Drosophila melanogaster: one gene and its partners. The protein of the gene in region 1 interacts with the protein of each later gene in a pairwise test. Each region holds a gene or a part of one and is shown on either strand. Other genes may lie near its edges.

What was found.
Region 2: the proteins of Sgf11 (region 1) and path interact in a two-hybrid assay, tested with the Drosophila melanogaster proteins (one large-scale study listed by BioGRID).
Region 3: the proteins of Sgf11 (region 1) and 7B2 interact in a two-hybrid assay, tested with the Drosophila melanogaster proteins (one large-scale study listed by BioGRID).
Region 4: the proteins of Sgf11 (region 1) and Cp15 interact in a two-hybrid assay, tested with the Drosophila melanogaster proteins (one large-scale study listed by BioGRID).

What each region holds. Positions count from the first base shown.
Region 1 is NT_037436.4:18,679,081-18,683,593, reverse strand, and holds Sgf11 (SAGA associated factor 11kDa), read left to right. Parts: upstream 1-1,757; 5' UTR 1,758-1,905; coding exon 1,906-2,496; 3' UTR 2,497-2,557; downstream 2,558-4,513. Other genes in the region: Chmp1 (charged multivesicular body protein 1), read left to right, coding at 1-375; CG32202 (uncharacterized protein), read right to left, coding at 831-1,155, 1,217-1,317.
Region 2 is NT_037436.4:9,501,527-9,507,653, reverse strand, and holds the start of path (pathetic), read left to right. Parts: upstream 1-2,325; 5' UTR 2,326-2,522; intron 2,523-6,127. Other genes in the region: CG3408 (uncharacterized protein), read left to right, coding at 1-75. UniProt on the Drosophila melanogaster protein: Amino acid transporter which has pH-dependent electrogenic transport activity for alanine and glycine but not for proline. Plays a role in positive regulation of growth by directly or indirectly modulating the effects of the TOR signaling pathway.
Region 3 is NT_033777.3:5,373,995-5,378,920, forward strand, and holds 7B2 (7B2), read left to right. Parts: upstream 1-2,785; 5' UTR 2,786-2,937; coding exon 2,938-2,956; intron 2,957-3,004; coding exon 3,005-3,816; 3' UTR 3,817-3,981; downstream 3,982-4,926. Other genes in the region: hd (humpty dumpty), read right to left, coding at 1-181, 239-396, 456-503; CG14667 (uncharacterized protein), read left to right, coding at 1,097-1,222, 1,284-1,930, 1,993-2,106, 2,163-2,289; kkv (krotzkopf verkehrt), read right to left, coding at 4,644-4,826, 4,902-4,926. UniProt on the Drosophila melanogaster protein: Acts as a molecular chaperone for neuroendocrine convertase amon/PC2, preventing its premature activation in the regulated secretory pathway.
Region 4 is NT_037436.4:8,726,248-8,730,378, forward strand, and holds Cp15 (chorion protein 15), read left to right. Parts: upstream 1-2,233; 5' UTR 2,234-2,279; coding exon 2,280-2,291; intron 2,292-2,362; coding exon 2,363-2,698; 3' UTR 2,699-2,819; downstream 2,820-4,131. Other genes in the region: Cp18 (chorion protein 18), read left to right, coding at 588-602, 777-1,280; Cp19 (chorion protein 19), read left to right, coding at 3,661-3,675, 3,765-4,131. UniProt on the Drosophila melanogaster protein: Chorion membrane (egg shell) protein; plays a role in protecting the egg from the environment.

The DNA of each region.
Region 1 (4,513 bases):
AGGGTTCAGTCCGCACTCACCACCCGCAAGGTCACCGGCTCCATGGCCGGCGTGGTCAAGGCCATGGATGCAGCTATGAAGGGTATGAACCTGGAGAAGATTTCCTCCCTGATGGAGAAGTTTGAATCGCAGTTCGAAGACCTGGACGTCCAGAGCTCGGTAATGGAGGGCACCATGTCCGACACGGTAACCACCTCGGTGCCTCAGGGAGATGTCGACAATCTGCTCCAGCAAGTGGCCGACGAGGCTGGCCTCGAACTCAACATGGAGCTGCCCAGCGGAGTTCAGAGCCAATCCGTTGGAGCCTCGACAGCAGTGTCCCAAGAGCAAGACGAGCTCACCCAGCGACTGGCACGTCTCCGCCAGGCTGAATAAAAATAGCGACGCCCTGCCCGTTGAATTTCTGTTTTAGCAATTAAGTACATTCAAAATATAAATAAGTATAAACTCAGTGATTGGAAGTCTATCGATGCTGCTTTGTCTACCATAATCAGAAGAATTGCCATGAATCTTTAAGTGTAAGTGTGCTGTTTGTATAGGCTTCAAACGGATTATGATTTACATGCTTTTCTAATGCAATATACGATAATCATGTTTTAAAGGCTTTGTTGTTATAGTTATTTGAAGACCTGCCAATTTTTGTAACTTGTTTACTTGGAAAGATATAGCATAATTTGGAAATAGAAATGGTTCTGCAGCAATCACAACTTTCATTGCTTTGGTTACTATAATTCATTTCTGGTCTTAGCTTTTATTTGTCTTAATATTATATTTAAAAGTATACAAGCCCTTTATCTTAAAACTAGAACACGCCAAGCAATCGCTATGACTCAGGTCAACAGTGGAGGTTGAGGTTGTTGATGCGGTGGTGCAATGACTGGATTGGGATTGATGGGTGCCTGTTTGGCTTTTTGCTTTCGGGGTTTCCGGGCAGCTGGAGTATTGGGTCCAGGCTCAGACCCGGGTGCTCCTGTTTCATCCGCCGCCTGCTTGTTTTTGGGCTTCGGTCCTCGACGCTTCTGCTCGGTTTTCCCTTTGGGATGTGGAGCCTCCATGGGAACGGATCGCCAGTCGTCTCCGTGCTTATCTAGTCGCCGTTTTAGAAGCTCCACGTCATGATTGCGCCTTCTTACTATCTTTTTGATCCCATTTACTCTGGATAAAAGGTACTGCACATTTTTGTTTACGTTTCGTGGAGCATAAAAATGACGGTTACCTCATCACACATCGCTCATTTTCCGCCTGAATCCTTTGGCACCTGTCATACAGTTTTTCCACCAGCTGTTTGTACATGAGTTCTTTCTTATTTAGCAACATTTTATACAGATATTGGTTATAGTTCAATATTTAGAAATGTTTTTATTTACGCCATGGCTCAGTGTGGCCAGATGGGCGATTTTCTTCTTGCTCCGTCTGTCGGTACAGGCGTTGCCACGTCATATTTATTCAAAAAAGGACTAGTTCACTTATTGAACTAAATTTAGCAAAAGTGCATAAAAACTGCTTGACATAATTGTCTTTAATTTAAGATTTAACTGGTCATAATAATTACTTTACATACTCGTTTTATGAAATGACAAAACCTGATGCATTTAAAATTATAAGTTAATGAAAATATAAACTATTTAAATTGGTTAATAATATAAATTTTATAATTTGCTATAACGGTTAAAGCTGTTACTTTTAGATGCAACTATTTAAATTGAATATCTAGTTCCTTAAAACTATTTACCCCTATTTGCACCAGCCTGGCAACTCTCTCATTTTGCAAACAGCCGTGTTAAGCAAACCCACAATTAGTAACTTATGTAGTTCCACAACAACAACCGGCATGCCAAACAAATCTTCCAGAGCAGACAGGAAGACAGCCAGAAGCAAATAGATATAGTGTTTGCGCCAACTATTATGTCTGCAGCCAACATGCCGACGACAACAGGAGCTCAGGGATCGGGAAACCAAGTTCCCACAACTAGCACTACGATTGTAAACCACTTCCGGGAGTTGATCAAGGAACCGAAGAACCTCGACGAGGCGGCCAACTATCTGTACCAGTCGCTGCTCGACGACGCCGTAGTCGGAATCTTTAACGAGACACATCATCTGCGAAAGTCAGGGAATCTGGCCGCCCTGGACGGAGTGCCGGAGGACTCAACCTATCGAATGTGCGAGATGCCCAACCTGGACATATTCGGCATCTCAACGGCCAAAAAGCCAATGGACTGCACCTGCCCCAACTGTGATCGCCTGGTGGCCGCCGCCCGCTTCGCCCCGCACCTGGAAAAGTGCATGGGCATGGGTCGTATCTCGTCGCGAATTGCCTCTCGTCGCTTGGCCACCAAAGAGGGCGCCACATCCGCCCACCTGCACTCTTCGGGAAATACCGGAGGCACTGATGATGAGGATGACGTGGACTGGTCGTCCGACAAGCGTCGAAAGAAATCAAACCAGAACTCAAGGAACAACGGCTCCAAGAAGAACAATGGCAAAACCTTTTAGTCAGAGCTAACAATCATTTTCGTAGTTTATTCTGCCATAAAAGTACACCTTTAAATCAGTCACCAATGTATTCTAAACTAATGGGATTTTGGTGATCGACCCCTACTCTTCTTTGAGATCATTTGAATAGGACAGCAGTTAGTGGCAATATCTAATCAATTAATATCTAGATATCATAGGACAAGGGTAATATAACTTTTCAGCAAATAGGCGCTTTTAAACATAGACTTTCCTGGTGCTAAATGAAGTAATTCAATGTAATAATATGAAAGCAAGCCTTAGTTTTATATTTTACAACTTAAAGAGTATATATTTTGGTTATTTTCCTTCCTTATCAATGGCAAACACCCGGATATGGTCGACCACTAGGGGTGTCCAGTCCGAATTTCTAGACAACTCCTCGAATTGTTTGTCAGTTTTGGGGTGGGTGTTTAAAAAGGGCTTGTGTTTCATTTCTAGAATGTCGTCATTGAAATTAACATTGCCGCCGGCGGTTAGGCCAAGGACTAGATGGCACTAAAAACGAAAGATCATAGAGATATTACATCTTTTAGAGGAAGGCGTCTTACCTCATGTTTTCGAAATGGTTCAAGAAGTGTCGGATTGTTTACTGCTCCGAAGAACTCGCCATCGAACTTAAAGATAATTTTGTCAGTCTGCCAGATAATAGTCGTGAAATCCGTCCCCATAGTAAATTTCCCCTGGCGTACAAGCGAATATGATCGAAAAAATCGTCATCCGCCTTATCCATACGGGGCACCAGAAGAATGTCTAAAGTAATCAAAACCATGTAGTGATTACCAGCTATAAAAACTAAATATCCACTCACTTGGAAACAACCAATCGCCTTTGGGCATTTTAGCTCTAATCTCAACTCGCCCATATTTAAAGGTAAAGTTCGTGTGCATGTTGGCGGATCTAAAGGTCTTGGAGACCCAAGGCTCCCGTTTCGATCTTGACCCCCTGTCACACTCTTTTCGTTTGGCTATTTGCTGGTGCAGCCCAGAAGAGTCATATTTCGCTCATCTCTGGTAATTGATATGTGCAAATTGTTGTTGGTTATAATCGAGTTGACAGGATCGTCCACAAAGGCAAAAAACTCCTGGTTTTTCCCGCCAGTATTACGATACCTAACCTCGCGTACCCAATTCAATGGGAACATTCTGATAACGTTTCTGAAGAACTCAGGTTAATCTAGGCCCATCAAATAATTCGCCAATTCCATTATCGTTGATTTTAATCTCGAAAAACTGAGTTGCAATCTTATTATTTCTCTCCACCACAGTTTGAATTCTTATTTTGGCATTGGGCTCAATGTTACTTTGTAACTCAATCTTTGCACCAATATGCTTCGTTATCGCACCCTTTGTCAACCAACTCGGCTTGAAAGTATATGGACTCAATCTCTTCCAGATCCCCGGGTAACACTATGAATACCTCCCTGCCCTTCACATTTACCACTGGATGCGGCCCCTCCAAGGCAATCATCAAAGAAACAAGACAACCTAACAAAATTAGAAAAACACAGCCTTTCCGCATGGCGGCTACCAGAGAATCCAGTCTTGCAATCATTGTGTTAACATGTGGGTTACTGCATTCCCTAGCATATAAGCTCTCAATCTTTAGCTGTTCTCTTGTAAAAATATGATAGATATGATCACATTGGTTTCCAATAATTAGGTCAGATATAGTATTTTATTCAATGAAATCATAGATTCACTTTTTTCATAGTTCACAGTTTCATTAGACCAAATATTTAATTAAGTGTTGTAGCTTAATGAGATCACGCGAGTCATATTCATTCCTCGTATTCATCGATTGAATAAACATTAAATTGTTGTATGACCAACACAGCTTGATCCCAAATGGGTGCATTGGTTACGGCCTTTATAATTTTCGATGATAGACCCGTTTCGAAATTGCGATAGCTCTTTTGCTCTGGCGGAATGCTGTTATCCGGAAAATTGTACTCTCCGCCGACAGTTAGGAACAATTCAATGTGGCGCTGAGGAGTTGG
Region 2 (6,127 bases), 9.2 Mb from region 1:
ACCAAAACGGAGATCTTTCGGCTGCGTGTTACCGACTGGATCTCGGAATTCCGAACACCACCGGAGGAACACTGACGGTTCATTTATTTGAAGCCTTAGAGCGCTGGGCTTCAAATGGAATAAATCGCTAAAAAAAAATCTCGGATGCATTGCGCGTGTGTGGAGGCAAAATTCAAAATGAGATACGTGTTGACCACCTGAACGAGTTATACGACTGCTACTTTGATATACCATTATCTGTAATTTACTGCCATTTATTTTGATAGACACTAAGCCCACTACGTCCATTGAAGGGAGATTTTAAAATAAAAAAAAAACACACGTACTCCGCAACTTAAGAGGCCACTTTAAAGACACCGAACTACACTCAATCACTCAGCTCAATCGAACTCAGATGAATCTACAGCTAACCTAACCATAGCTCAAGCTCAACTCCATAGTAACTGAATGGCAGTTCCAAACTAGCCAAAGCATAGAAACTACAGACACAGTCAGACCAGACATCCTCGTATTATTCACATCTATCAGGTCAAATCAGATATAATCGAATCGATTCGAATCAACTCACCTACAAATAAAGTACTATAACCGTGTGCAATTCCCATCTTATTTCTAATTCTTGCTCAAATTGTATTCATGTTAGCCCGACCATTTTACATTTGTAGATTTTAAATCGCATAGGTTTTATTGCAAAGGAAATGTATACCATCATGAGTGGAATTTGCAGATAATCAAAATGAAATTCAAGCGGTTTCATATGATTTATGCGAAATCGAAATAATTGAAGCGTAACAAAATATTTGCAAGATTCTTTGAATAAAAACGTACATTTTAACAAATTTGTTGAAGTTTTCTTATTCTTATTTAATACTTGAACTAATTTTATTCTGTGACTTAACAGTTTGCGCCCAAAATCTAACAATTCAAATTAATTTTATGTCCCAGGAAATTGTTAATAAAAATAATTTCAATTGAGATTGTGGGAAATTTATGCTTATCTATTCACTTGGTCACCATGCTATCTATAATAATATTTATAGCCCCATTCGGCACGCGAGTTTATGTTAAATATAAGTATTAAACGCCCCGCTATCTATTTATATTTATTATTTTCCTTTTTTGGATTTGTGACCATTTATTCTGATTATAATAAATTATTATTCTTTCAAGAAAAATGAATGTTTGTTGATAATAAAGATTATTTAAAAGTAGTGGCAATGATTTTAAGTAATACTATATTGAAGTTCAATTCCTAGCATCATACTAACTAACATATCTTTCATCATGCAAACATCAGCAACACAATATAAGATCTTAATCCTACCAACCCATCCTGACATCATTTGTATCTTCTTTATTTGGCTCTCCTCAACGTAATTGGTTCATTCGCATATCGCAAATAAATTGATAAGTGATAAATGACTAGCAAAAACATACCGGTTCCGTGTTAAAGTGAATTTCATCAGTAGAAAGTTGTAGAACTTTGGACGTATTTACCTGCTGTTGAGCGGGTGGAAATTATTATTGAACAACGTGAGAGAGAGCAAAAAGTTGGATAAATACGTAAATATTGTGGTTATCTTGTTCGATTCCCAGAACTTAAACAACACCGAAACCTAATTGCTGATGCAATGCTGTTTATCAATTTCGTGCAAGGATCTTACCGCTTCTACCCGCAGCTCCAACTTTAAAGTTTCGCATTTCCGGCAAGTCTAAAAAGTATATAGAGTTTGCCACGCTTATGAAAGCCGGTCTTAGATTTCGTCATCCAAAAAGTGGAGAAGGCCCTTGCCCTTTAGGATTTGCGGAATATACATATCTCGCTTGCTCTTCTCAAATTCAGCGCATCGTGTCGCTGTCCTTGTCGTCCTTTCAGCCGTATTTATTTTTTTCTCTTACCCGGCTTTTCTCTTTCTCTGCATTTACAAGCTGTTTGTTTTAGCGGGAAAAAAGCCAGATCGGATTTTAAAATTTCATAAATCAAGCTGTAAAATCAGATACGTACTTGCCTTACCTAATTTTTTTGTGTTTACTAAGAATAATTCATTAAGAAGTAAAAATATTCTAATAATCGTAGCCATTTTGACAAAAATTCCTTAAGTGGCATTTTGTTGTCTTTTTACTTAAGGTAGTTAAAAAAATATTTATAAATATTTATAATAAAAATCATAATTTTCCTAAAGGCATAATCTATACCTATAATTTATTACGTATTCTAAAATATAATATTTTTACATCTTGCCTTATAAAATAAAGTAAAATAAATGTCGGCAGCACTGTTGCGCTCTCTCAGTATTTATATTTAAGCAGGGACTGTGTTTCTCATTTTAGTTGCTGTTTGGTGTTCGCGCAGTCCGCACGGCTTTTTGTGTCGCGGGAGATATCTCCGATTTTTTAACTGCCCAAACTGTTGGCATTATTACAACTTTTATTCGCCTAAAAGGCGATTGACCGGGAGGAGTGTTTGATTTGCGCGGCATTCACCAATTCGTCAGCACTTCAGAGAAAGAAGGAGCAATTAAGTAAGCATAAATTCTGAACTACTGTACAGTCGCCGGATTTAAGACAAGGGAAGCGAAAAGAGGGCAACACTTGAAGCACATGGCAGAAACACAGAATAAATTGGGTTTGTCTGAAAATAGCATAGTGCAACTGCTGCTATAACAGACATGTGTTATGTATTCAAAAAAACATTCGAAATAGAAGTATAGAATTATAGAATGATGTGCCATGTTGTAGATGAGAACCACGAAAGCAGACGAAAAACAAAAAGCAGGAGAAAAAAACGGCTTTAGCGAACCATAAATAGCCGAAGTGACAATTAAAACCGAAACCTTTTCATAAAAACCGAAAAATTCGACAGTCAAAAAAAAAAAAACGGGACACGCGTGCATTTTCGACGTCAACGTAAAACGAACACGTTGCACCTGTCCCGTTATTTGCATTACGGCTTTCTACATTTTTTTGGCTGATATGTGGATATTTGTGGATATATTTGGATGATTTGTTTTCGGGCATTTTATAAAGAATACGTTTTTCCTGAGTCATGAATGGAATATAAACATTTCCTCGGTTGCCCGCGCTTTCCATTGCAGTTTGATGTTAGTGCTTTTATACATGTGCTATAGTTCAATGGCTGCGAATAGGTTTCTCCCCAATTTGACTTGCTGATGCTCCACGTTTCTTGCTAAATTTCAATACGTAATTTACCTGTAATTGAGCACTTAGCCAAGGGAAAGTTCGCCCGATGCCAGCGAAACAAATATAATAAAAAACAAAACGAAATTAACTGTTAGCAGAGCACGCATAAAAGAAAAAATAAAATGGATTACTATCATAGCTGTCTGCACACACACGTCAATGCAACTGCCCCACCCACACTGAACTGCTGCACCCACGCCCACACACTTTTAGACCGATTCGAACTGAGTCATCAAGGACATGGCCGAAAGGAGCTCGGGCCAAAATGGGATGGGTGCACTGAGAGAAATGTGCATCCAAAATCTACCTTGTGCTTGAAATCGCTCTGTTGCTTTTAAATCTATTGATGAAGTAAACTAACTTCTATACACTTTGAATTCGTTAATCTTAGATCTATCTATCTATCTTTGGCATTGAACGTTTAATACTATTTATGACAATTATTATTTCGCACTGTATGTGTATCTCATCACTTTTGCCGACTGAGGTGCGCCTGTTTTTGGCCATATCTTTACGATGTAACCATTTCCTCGCTTTACGCGCTCGTTTTCTGTTTGTGTTATTGATTTTGTTGCTATTGTCGCTGTTGGTAATTAGCATAACAGAAATTTACAAGCTAAAGTCAAAGACGCAGTAAAACTGTGACGTCAGAGGCTGGGAGTCCAAGGGAGAGGCAAGTGTCAAACAAAGTGAAAAAGAGAAAGGTGCTAGGCAGAAAGAGAGGGGCGCACGTGGGTGCAACATGTTGATTGCGTGGGCGGCCTTCGGGCCATTTGGCATATTCCAAGAATAAATCTGATTTACATATCTTACGATTTTGGGATTATGAATATTAAGTACGGATTTTAAGCCAACGATTTTAAAGTGGAATTGAAATTGTATCATAGAAACGGGCATTCAGATATAGTAGGTTTATACCTTATATATTTATTCAAAATATATATATATATTATATATTATATTATTATTCAAAAACCTATCTTTATTTCTTTTTACTGTTCTGGCTGTCAATCGGCTTCGCTAATTTGCACACATGTGCCACTTGCGCAATTTTCCACCAGAAGCAGACATTACACTTGACCGCCTTCCTTCCCTTCATTTGCCACAACTGACCCGACAGAAACTAATTATTTTTAGACGCAACTAATTTCCGTAACACCTGAGTTCGTTTCTGTTATCATGTTGCCATTTTTGCCTTCTTAAATCGATTGGACCATTGAACGGCAGCTCAATAAACACTGTTCCACATAAAGTGTCGAAGAAAACAATTACCAAAAATACAGTCCAATAAAACGAAGTTCATATTCGTATCGTCGCACATTATCTAAAACGATAATGTGACCTTTGTGGCGGCTTGCTTGGGTTTTTTTTTATCAGGATTGACATTATGCAACAACCGCATGCAAACTCTCCAATTGCGGGTAATTATTTTAAACACCTTGAACAACAGGGAAAATTGCATTTATCTCTGTAGATAGGACAAAACAACAGATAGTTACTACCATTTCATTTTTTTTTTTTTTTTTTTTTTTTGACGCGTGTCTCAATTTTGATAAGGAGACTTTTTAGAAACCTATTGGGAGCTGTATTTAATCAGCAGTTTCCCCCGTTCATATGCACATGGAGGCTATAACCTTTTTCTAATGACGTAAATGTCAAACAGATCTGAAATCTTTGACGTTCGAAAACAGCTGCTTAAATATTTTTAGAGATTTCAAAATTGATGAAGAGAATTTACCAAACAAAAATTACATAAAAAGAATTGTTGAGTTTTTGAAACAATTTCGAAATATGTCACTCCACTTCACTTACATTTCCGGTAGTTATATCAGCTTTTTCGCTTTTTCCATGAATCATGTTCCACTATCAACAAAAATTCTTTAAAAACCGCAGAATGTGAGACAATTGCTGAACTCGCAACATGATTCCCCCAAAGTGAACACCTATGTATAAGAAGGGGAAACCAAACACCGTTTCGATGATAACTCACTAGATAAGGAGTGTCAACATAACGATTCCAAAACAAACAAAAAGCAAATGCAATCCATTCGCACAAAACAGAAACGTTCGGCTGATGAAATGCTAAAAAAGCTTTGCAGCATGAAGCGCTGGGATAAATATAAACCGATTCTTCTAAGAATAAAAGTATTGTATGATGCTTACTCAGAATATTCCAAGGAATGTCGGAATAATCTCATATTGGGTTATGACCAGACCAGAACTCACAACATTTAAGGGCTATAACCATATAATTTTGAGCAATTGTAAGTGTAAAATCCCAAATAAGAAGACTTTACTCGTTGAGTTTTTGTAAGAAACTGATTTTATTTGGAAATATCTTCGGTTTAAATAGGTGACATGAGAATCGCATCTTAAAGTAAATGGCCTACGCAGAGGCCTAAGTAAATAGTCCCCGCCTTATCGAGGTCCCACGCTCGGGCACATCTGCCTATCTTGAGCGGCGAGGACCTTATCTGTGGTCTCCCACTAAGGGACTATTTTAGGAGGCGGGGAACGATCTCAAGTGACTGACTCATGTAGTGTGCACTTAAATTACATGTTTTTGAGCAATGCACCCATGTCGCCTTAGATAACAAAATCCTAAATATAATTTATCGCTCTCGATTCATTTACATAAGATATGAACGGAGCCCAAAATTGTAAGTCTTTAAATATATTCGTGTTCATGTGTGAACAGTAAGGTTAATTTGAAGTTCATACGTCTGGTACGAGTATCTTAAAAAATTATAAATATAAATGCACAGCAACGAAGGCGAAACACGTGGTTTTCACTTATGGCCGAGGGGCTCGACCGGGTGGTTTTTTGCTATATATGTATCTATGTATGTATATTAGTCGGGATGCTGCTGAATATAGCAGAGAATTGAATTGAGAGTTTAAGAGAAACGCAGAATATAAAGAGTTC
Region 3 (4,926 bases), on another chromosome or scaffold:
GTTGATTTGGGGATGCTGGAAGAGCTTGGCAAAGGCCTGCGGGTCGTACTTCTGGAGCACGAATTTGGCGGGCGCCGGGCGCGTGGGCGTTTCCCGCACAAAGCAGGAGGAGGCAGTGACCACTGGTTCGAGGTCCGCCAGTTGCGGATCAACGCGCAGTTTCTTGGCATCAGCTGTGGATCTGAGGCAGGGAGTCAGTAATTGGATTTTGGGGAGAGCGAGAGAGAGGGAAACTCACTTCGCAAACGGATTTTTTCGCTTCTGGGCGAGCTTAGCCTCCAGTAGCTTGCTTTTATCCGTCTCATCCACTTGGTGTCTTGGCCGCCTATTGTTGTTGTTGCTCACGCGGGCTGCCAATTTGTTCTTCTTCTGCTTGAGCCGCTGCAGTTTGATGAACTGGAAAACGAAACAACAACATTAGTGGCGGGCAGGTGCTCCTCCGAGTCCTTACCCACGTCATCTGGGCGCGTCCATTTGGAAGCCACACTCGCTTCGGTGGACATGTTCAATGTCTTGGTTCGCGCACAGGACCTTCACGGATTATTTAAGTACTTTGTGAACTGCAAATATCTTCAAAACGTTTGCAAATATCACAAAAAATTATGGCGCGCAACTAGGGGTGTGAAATCTTTCGATTGATTAGCTCGTTATTCGCTATTTTCGCCCATGTTCAATTCCCAAAAATATCGTTAGTCGGCAAATAAAACGAATCTCACAATTTAACTAATTATTTATTATAATAGATGGAGTAGTTTACAAAACGAAACTAACTTAAATTGTATATCACTGGCTGCAGGGGCTATGTTGGTTAACAATGGCATTGTTGGGCATCGAATTTGATTTTTTAATTTTAATGGTTCTTTTTGGATTTACAAGCTTCTAACCTAAATTAAACAAGCGCATGTTGTATCGTTTTAACTATTAATAAAATCAAATGAATAAAAAATCTTTTTGCGCTATAAAAATGTATCTGACTATCGGATTCACCGATAACAAATCGATTAAGCACTGTCGTTTTTCCAACTGTTTTATGATCTGGTAACACTTTCCGTCGCTGCGTTTTATGCTAAAAGTAAACACATTAACTTGATAAACAATGAACCTCGCCGACGTTTGCCGTATTTGCGCCAACAAAATTATGGGCCACCAGCGAGATCGCAACATATTCATTCACATGCGGGGAAAATATTTGGGTCAACTGAAGCTAATCACGGGAGTGGAGGTAGGTCGTTATGTCAGCTTCCGACCGCGCCAACAATTGTTATTACCTGGAATTTGTTCAGCTGACAAGAAACCAGGGGCTGCCGGAGATTGTTTGCGAGCGCTGCTTCTCCGAGCTGGACCTGGCCACCAAGTTCCGCGAGCGGTGCATCTTCTCGCAAAAGTACCTGCTGGATATCATAAAGAAGACCAGTGATCAAAGCACTGTTCACGTTGAGCTTAGTTCCGAGCCGCTGGACGAGCAACTGATCGATGCGGATCAATTGGAGACGCACTACGATGACGACCAGTACGTTTGTTATCAAGGCACGAAAGAGGAACACCAAGACCTAGAGGAAATCGAGCTGGATGACGACCCCTCTGCCGCTGTGATAGCGGCAGCAGAGGCGGCAGCAGAAGCGGCGCAGCAGGAGGATCTACAGGAGCAGGAAATGGAGCGGGCCGCCAAGAGGCGCAGTAACTTCTTTATCTGCGACGAGTGTGGAACCCTGTTCCACGATGCGTTCCTGTACACCGAGCATTTAAATGGGCACCAGAACCGGCGGGATATGAACCAGTTCTTCCCCTGCCCTGAGTGCCCACAGACTTTTAACAAGAAGGCGCTTCTCAAGCAGCATCGCACCCAGGTTCATTTAATTAACCGCAGGTTCCAGTGCACCATCTGCCACGAGGCTTTCGCGTCTCTGGGCGCTAAGTTGCGGCACGACAAGTAAGGAGGCTGGGAATTGAATGCTAGCGCAGCACTATATGCAACTTCCAATTTCATTTTAGAGCCCATAAGAACGAACGACCTTATCCATGCCTAGAATGCGGAATGATCTTCAGCAGCGTTTCCGAATTGCAGAACCACTTTTCGACACACTCAAAGCAAATCCGAAAGTTCAGGTAAGCTTGTCAGCTTGCGCAGTCATATGTCTTAATATCGTATTTTTTGCGTTTAGGTGTGAGCCTTGCAACATGGATTTTATAACTCGCCGAGGCTTGGTGGCCCATACAAAAACAGCACCGCATAAGCGCCTTGCCAAATATATGCAGGATGAATTCGATTTCATCGAATTGGCAACCTAACCCTCAATTATTACCACCTTCTTTCTAAGTAAATGCTAAGGTCAAAAAAATAAATCATAATTGAGTAGTTCAGTTTACTACTTCGCTACCATAATATTCGACAATGGAGTATCGGTTCAATGTTATTTTTTTATAAGTGTATTTTTAATTTATTGAAAATAAAATTCCTTCAGTTTTACTTTCAAGTCATTTTTTATAGTTCATACTTTTAAATTAAGGAGGGAATGGAAATTTATAGCGTATTACCGTGTAACATAAACCTCTAGTCATACAATTCAAGAAAATAAAGTTTTCTTAGCGACTAAGTTTTCTTATTTTCTTCCAGCATTTTATACTAATAAAGCTTAAAGAGGCCTGAAAACCTCAGCTCCAGCAGTTTGGCGCTAATCTAATTCTCGGCCCCCCACAGGACTGCTTCAACATAAAAGAGCTTTCGAGTACGGCGCATGCGTCCTTTCAGCTGTGGCTGCCATAAGGCAGCTTCGATTGGATCTGCGTATATTTCGCAAATTCAACTGGTAGCCGCCGCACGAAGCACAGAGCCCTACGTCACGTTAGTATATACACGGAATCGGAGCAGCTGCCGCCGAAAAATCAATACCTTACCAAACTTCGACGTGGACGGTTGAAACCGCTTGGAATCGCAATATGTTGTTCCGTTCGCAAAGTAAGTCTGCTGAAGTAATATTTATAGGTGGGTGAGGTAAGAGAATAGCCCATGTTTTTCCAGGTGTGTACATGATGGTGGCGATGCTCGTGGTCGCCTTGAGTGGCTACCAGGTGCAGTCCTATAGCGCCAAGGATATTCTTGCCGATGTCTTGATGACGGATCTGCTGAATCGCATGGACAAAGACATGCAGGTGGGCTATTACGACGTGGGCAACGAGGCAGCCGCTGGCTCCAAGGACAACGTGGACCTGGTCTCCCGGTCGGAGTACGCGAGGCTGTGTGACGGCGGAAGCGACTGCATCCTGCAATCGGGCTCGGCATCGGGAGCTGCCTCCCATCCTTCGCTGCGGGATGACGAGTTTCTGCAGCACAGTTCGCTGTGGGGTCACCAGTTCATCTCCGGCGGAATGGGAGAGGGTCCCAACAGGTATCCCACTATAGTGAAGAACGACGCCGGCCTGCCTGCCTACTGCAACCCTCCTAATCCCTGCCCTGAGGGCTACGACATGGAGACGCAAGGCGGCAGCTGCATTGTCGACTTCGAAAACACGGCCATCTTCAGCCGGGAGTTCCAGGCCGCTCAGGACTGTACCTGCGACAACGAGCATATGTTCGACTGCTCGGAACAGGATAGTGCTGATGTGGGCGGCGACAAGGGTGACCTGAACTCCGCCGTGGAGCAGTACATCATGCAGATGGGCCAGGAGAACAGCCTGAACAACGTTAACAGCCTGGCTAAGAAGGCCGGATATCCTGTGATGCCCGATCCTCGGCTGGACGACGCGGTCATAAACCCGTTCCTCCAGGGCGACCGCTTGCCCATAGCCGCCAAGAAGGGCAACCTTTTATTCCACTAAGGTAACTCGCTGATAACGCGAGCATACACGACGTTTCCATATGGGTGTCTAATACTATTATCTATCATAGCTGGTTATCAATGTTGTCCCGCAAGCGATGTCTAGTAATGTTTCTACCCTTTCCCGAAAATAAAGTTATTCGTATAGTACCAGGGCTCTAAGCCGAAAATATGCGGGTATTGGTCTAAACTTGGGGTAGGGTCTCCACTACCGAAGGTGGGTTCGGATGTAGCTTATCCTTGGGATGACCCAAGTTTGATGAGAGTGAGAAATATCGAATATCTGTTTGATGCTTCTATTTATTGTTTTAAAAAGTTTTACAATCCATCAAATCATCAATGATTATTCATTTAAAAAGAACTATCCTCGATATGTCGTCGAGTGTACAAATAGGCCACTGCGGTTCAGCTCCACGTTGAGTATTTTGTGTCAGCATGCACTGGCCGCGTGTTTCGGATGATCCACGCGGGTATTGACTTAAAGATAACCTAACAAATGATAGTATAGTACATCGCATGAATGTTGCTGCCACAGTGGGCGATCAGCCACCCAATTATTGGCACACATCGACACTGGCAGTGTGATTAGCTAAGCATAATGTTCGTTCTGTTGCCATGAAGCCTTATGAACGACCTGATCCTTCTGAGCCAGAGTGTCCTGGCTCTCACTCGCGTCCCTATACATACTATACAACACAATCCTTCCTTCTGACTACAATTCTAGGTATTGGCTTAGTCTTAAGTTTAGGCAGTTGATGGAAAGAGGCGGAATTCGTTAACAAGTTACCTAGGTCTAACTTAGCTCTACGTCTAGGATGGGCGGGTCCTTCACAGGCGACCTGTGCCATTACCGCCGCCGCCGTTGGTGTTCTGGCCCCAGGAGACCTGGTGGTGCGGGTGGGGATGGGGATTCCTGGTGGTCAGCCGCAGGGAGTTGCCGTCGCCGTCCTCGTCGATCACATGCTCGTAACCCTGGTTGATAGTGCCGCCCCCATTCGAGCCGTAAATCTGCTGCAAGTGTAAGCGGACGTAACAAAATATTTCCATGAGAATACACATATTTTATGATTATAAATTGGCCTTTACCTCGGCACCACCACCGTTCACATTG
Region 4 (4,131 bases), about 10 Mb from region 1:
TAGCGCCAATTGAATGTTATAAAAAGCTTAGTGCGGCAGTTTGGAAAGTGGAACGGTTGTGTTTATAATTTTATTGTAATTTTATCTCAATTTTTTTTGCTTTTGTATATAAATTCTACCAACGCAGCAGAATTTTCAGGCCACTGCCTTGACTTCACTGTGTCACTGAAAAATCGGTGTCAAGCTCTCGGCACCGTGGGGCAAAGCAACTGCAATACTGATCGAAACTATGCGGATCCGGAGCACGAAGAGTCATGCGGTCGGAATCTTACGTAATGGGTCTCGTCTCTGGTAGACGATGGCGTAAGCACAGACGCCTGCTATCTGGACCGGCCCGAATTGAGAGCCAGCATTTTGGCCAGTGCGGATTCGGCCTGGCTGCACGTCTCCGGCGGCGTCTCAAGATTGCTGGACAAAGAGGCGAGGCCTGGAACTGCGTCTGCGGGAACCCGGAGAGCCGAAACTTGCATCATATTCGTCACGTAAGAGTTGGGCCTCTGCCTGGATCTGGTATAAAAACAAAACATTGCGCCAGAATAAGACATTAGTTACCTTCGCATCGATCAACTAACCAACTCAGCCTCAGAATGATGAAGTTCATGGTAAGCCTTAAGTTCCAATATTGTTTCTATTGACACCTCAACTGAGTCCAGTATGATCCTTTCAATAAAATATAACTACATATTATAATAATTGGATAATATGATTGGATCTTTCTTTTCTAATACACTTCAGTCTAAACCCAAATTAATTGAATTTTTTCTTGAATCCCTTAGTGCATCTGCCTCTGCGCCATCTCTGCCGTTTCGGCCAACTCCTACGGACGTTCCCGTGGTGGATACGGTGGTGCCCCAGTCGGTGGCTATGCCTACCAGGTGCAGCCTGCCCTGACCGTTAAGGCGATCGTTCCCTCATACGGTGGTGGATACGGCGGAAACCATGGAGGATATGGCGGTGCCTACGAGTCGGTGCCTGTGCCCGTGTCCTCTGCCTACAGCGGTGCCAATGTGGGATCTCAGTACTCCGGTTCCGGCTACGGCGGTGCCCCACCAGTTGATGCCCAGGCCATTGCCCTCGCCAAGCTCGCCCTGGCCGCTCCCAGCGCTGGAGCTCCTCTGGTCTGGAAGGAGGCTCCCCGCTACGCCCAGCCCGTCTATCCCCCCACCAGCTACGTGAACCAGGAGTACGGACACAGCGAGAAGGTGAAGGGAGGCTCCGCAGCCGCTGCTGCCAGCTCCGTGGCCGCCGGAAAGAAGGGCTACAAGAGGCCCAGCTACTAAGTGGCAAAACGTTGAACAGTGAACCAAAAACTTACCTGCCCATAAGGAACTAGGTCATAATAATAAAAGCCAAAACATCAAGACTTAAAATTTTGAGTACTGTATTCTTGCTGGGTTTTTAGTTTCGGGCCGAGAATTGAGATCTGCATATCTTAGCTGAATTGGCATAGACTTGCGGTTCATTGCAATGCCAAGCGATACTTTGAGCCAGCAAAAATTTCGTGGTTTCGTAGTTAAATGAAAATGCTGCTTAAAGTGCTAAAGAATAATTCTCATGGCGAATGAAGCTGAAAAGCTAAAACTAAATTCATTTGTGGGGCCACTTTAAAACTATAGTTCGTCAAATAAGCCTTGACTTTTTTAAGTTACCATAAGTAAAGAACCTATTAGATAAAATGAGATTAGATAGAATATAGTTTTGCTTGAAATTATGTTTTTGTAAAATTTCAAAATGATTGAAATACTTTAAAATGTTTTAGTTATAATTTTAAGTTTTGTATGTGACTAGTGGTCACTTTAAAGGGATGATTCTATATAGGTTTTATCAGAAAAACCGGCTGGAACCAGTTCTAGAAGAATCCTCACTTAGACAAGCCAAGTTCCGGACACAACCGACCTGGAAACCATTACCCCCGAGAATGTGGATAATATAAAGTTCAATTCAACAAATTTTGGACTGTATTCGAAAATAAACGCGTTCGTGGTTCCCATTTGGAAGAGTCGCGTGTTCGTAGTGCTATCACTACCCAACACCCGGTAGAATAGCACATCGCGTAACCAAGCGATTTTATAATGGCTTGACAACAAGTACATAAATCAAATGTGAGTATATTCCAGCCGGGCAATTATGAAATGCCATTTCTGGGCTGAAACAGAACAATTAGTGTATATAGGTCACGTAAATGTCCAGGCTAAAATTTGCGTATAAAAGCGAGCGTTTCTGGTCGGTAAATCATAGTTTGATTGATTACCCCAAACCAACAAAACTAAGCACTCACCATGAAGTACCTGGTAAGTTGTGGTAGTCCCCGTGAAGGAGTGGCAGCCAACTGATCCTCCGGATTTCCCCTTTTCACCTTCAGATTGTCTGCGTTACCCTGGCCCTTTTCGCCTACATCAACGCCAGCCCAGCGTACGGCAACCGTGGAGGTTATGGTGGTGGCTACGGTGGTGGCTACGGTCCTGTTCAGCGCGTCGTCTACGAGGAGGTGCCCGCCTACGGACCATCCCGTGGCTACAACAGCTATCCCCGCAGCCTGCGATCGGAGGGTAATGGAGGAAGTGCCGCTGCCGCTGCCGCCGCTTCCGCCGCTGCCGTGAATCCCGGAACCTACAAGCAGTACGCCATTCCCTCCTACGAGTTGGATGGCGCTCGCGGCTACGAGATCGGACACGGCTACGGCCAACGTGCTTACTAATTCTCGCTTCATCGGCAGTGAATTGAACTATCGACTCCTTGCTAAAATCCTCGAGTGGCTGTCATGGCGAAACTCTGAGAATCAGTGAATAAAAGCAGCTTGAACGCAATGGAAAATACCGAAAAGAAATACGTATTGTGTGTTTTGCATTGTGACATACTTTTCAGCGCATTCGGGTTAAGATTTAGCGGTGGGTCATTATTATTATTCCACACACAAGATGGGTTTCAAAGTGGGGCAGCTAGAATATTCACTGCGGCAGATTGTACAATACTATATAGAAGTACTATTGCACTTTAAGCTACAAAGTCGACAGGTTAAGCTTCAGTGACTCAAGAATTTAGTCACCTATGAAACCCTTAGTTTCACTAATAGATTCTTAGACGAACATCTTAAATTGTATAATCAAACAAAGGGCTATATATATTACAATAACATATTTGCCAATGTGCATAAAGGCATAGACTCTGAAGTTATGTTTTATCGTTAAAATTTGGTTTGTTCTGTTTACTTGAAGGTATAGATAATATTATAAAATCCATATCCAATAACCATTGGTCAGTCGTTGGCCCGTTATCCCATTAACCCGCTTGCGTTCCCGCACGCACCCAAATGCAACCATTGATTTTGGGCCTCAGTTGGGAGCATCTGCATCTGCCACCCCCAACGAAGGTCAACCGGCGAATGGAGGCGATACGATACGCTGCGGTGAGCAACCTGCTCGAGCCGAAACGAGCTCAACGTGGAGCCCCGATATCTGGCTAGGAAAAGCTAGAAATCCACAGAAAGTTCCCCAACAAACTGGCCGAGAAGAGACGACGAAGCCAGCTCTTGAGCCGTGATAAATTTCTGGGCGAGATCACGTTTCGAGTGCAACAATAAATTTGCTTATATAAAGAAGTGTGCTTGGCCATTTAATATGTTAATTCAGCCAACTGTGCCAAAACCCATACATCATAGCCATGAACAAGTTCGCTGTAAGTGTCCCTGAGAACCGCTTCCGTATTCCCTGCCGCTCTTTCATTTTCCGGACTTATGCTAACTGAAAGTTTTCCTGATTTTCCAGACTCTGGCAGTCATCTTCTGCGCCTGCATCGTGGGCAGCTGCTACGCCAACTACGGTGGCCAGCAGAGCTACGGACAGCGATCTTACGGTCAGGATAGCTCCGCCGCCTCCGCCGCCAGCTCAGCAGCTGCTGCTGGAGCCGAGGGTCAGCAGCGTTATGAGCGCCCCGTGGAGATCATCGCCGGCGGTTACCGCGGCAGCTATGCCCCCGAGATCCTGCGTCCCATCCAGGTCAGCGGTGGATATGGCGGTGAGCGACGTGGCTACAACGGTGGCAACTACCGTCGTGCCGGCTACGGACCCCGTTGGACTGTCCAGCCCGCCGGTGCCACCCTCCTGTACCCCGGCCAGAACAACTACAAGGCTT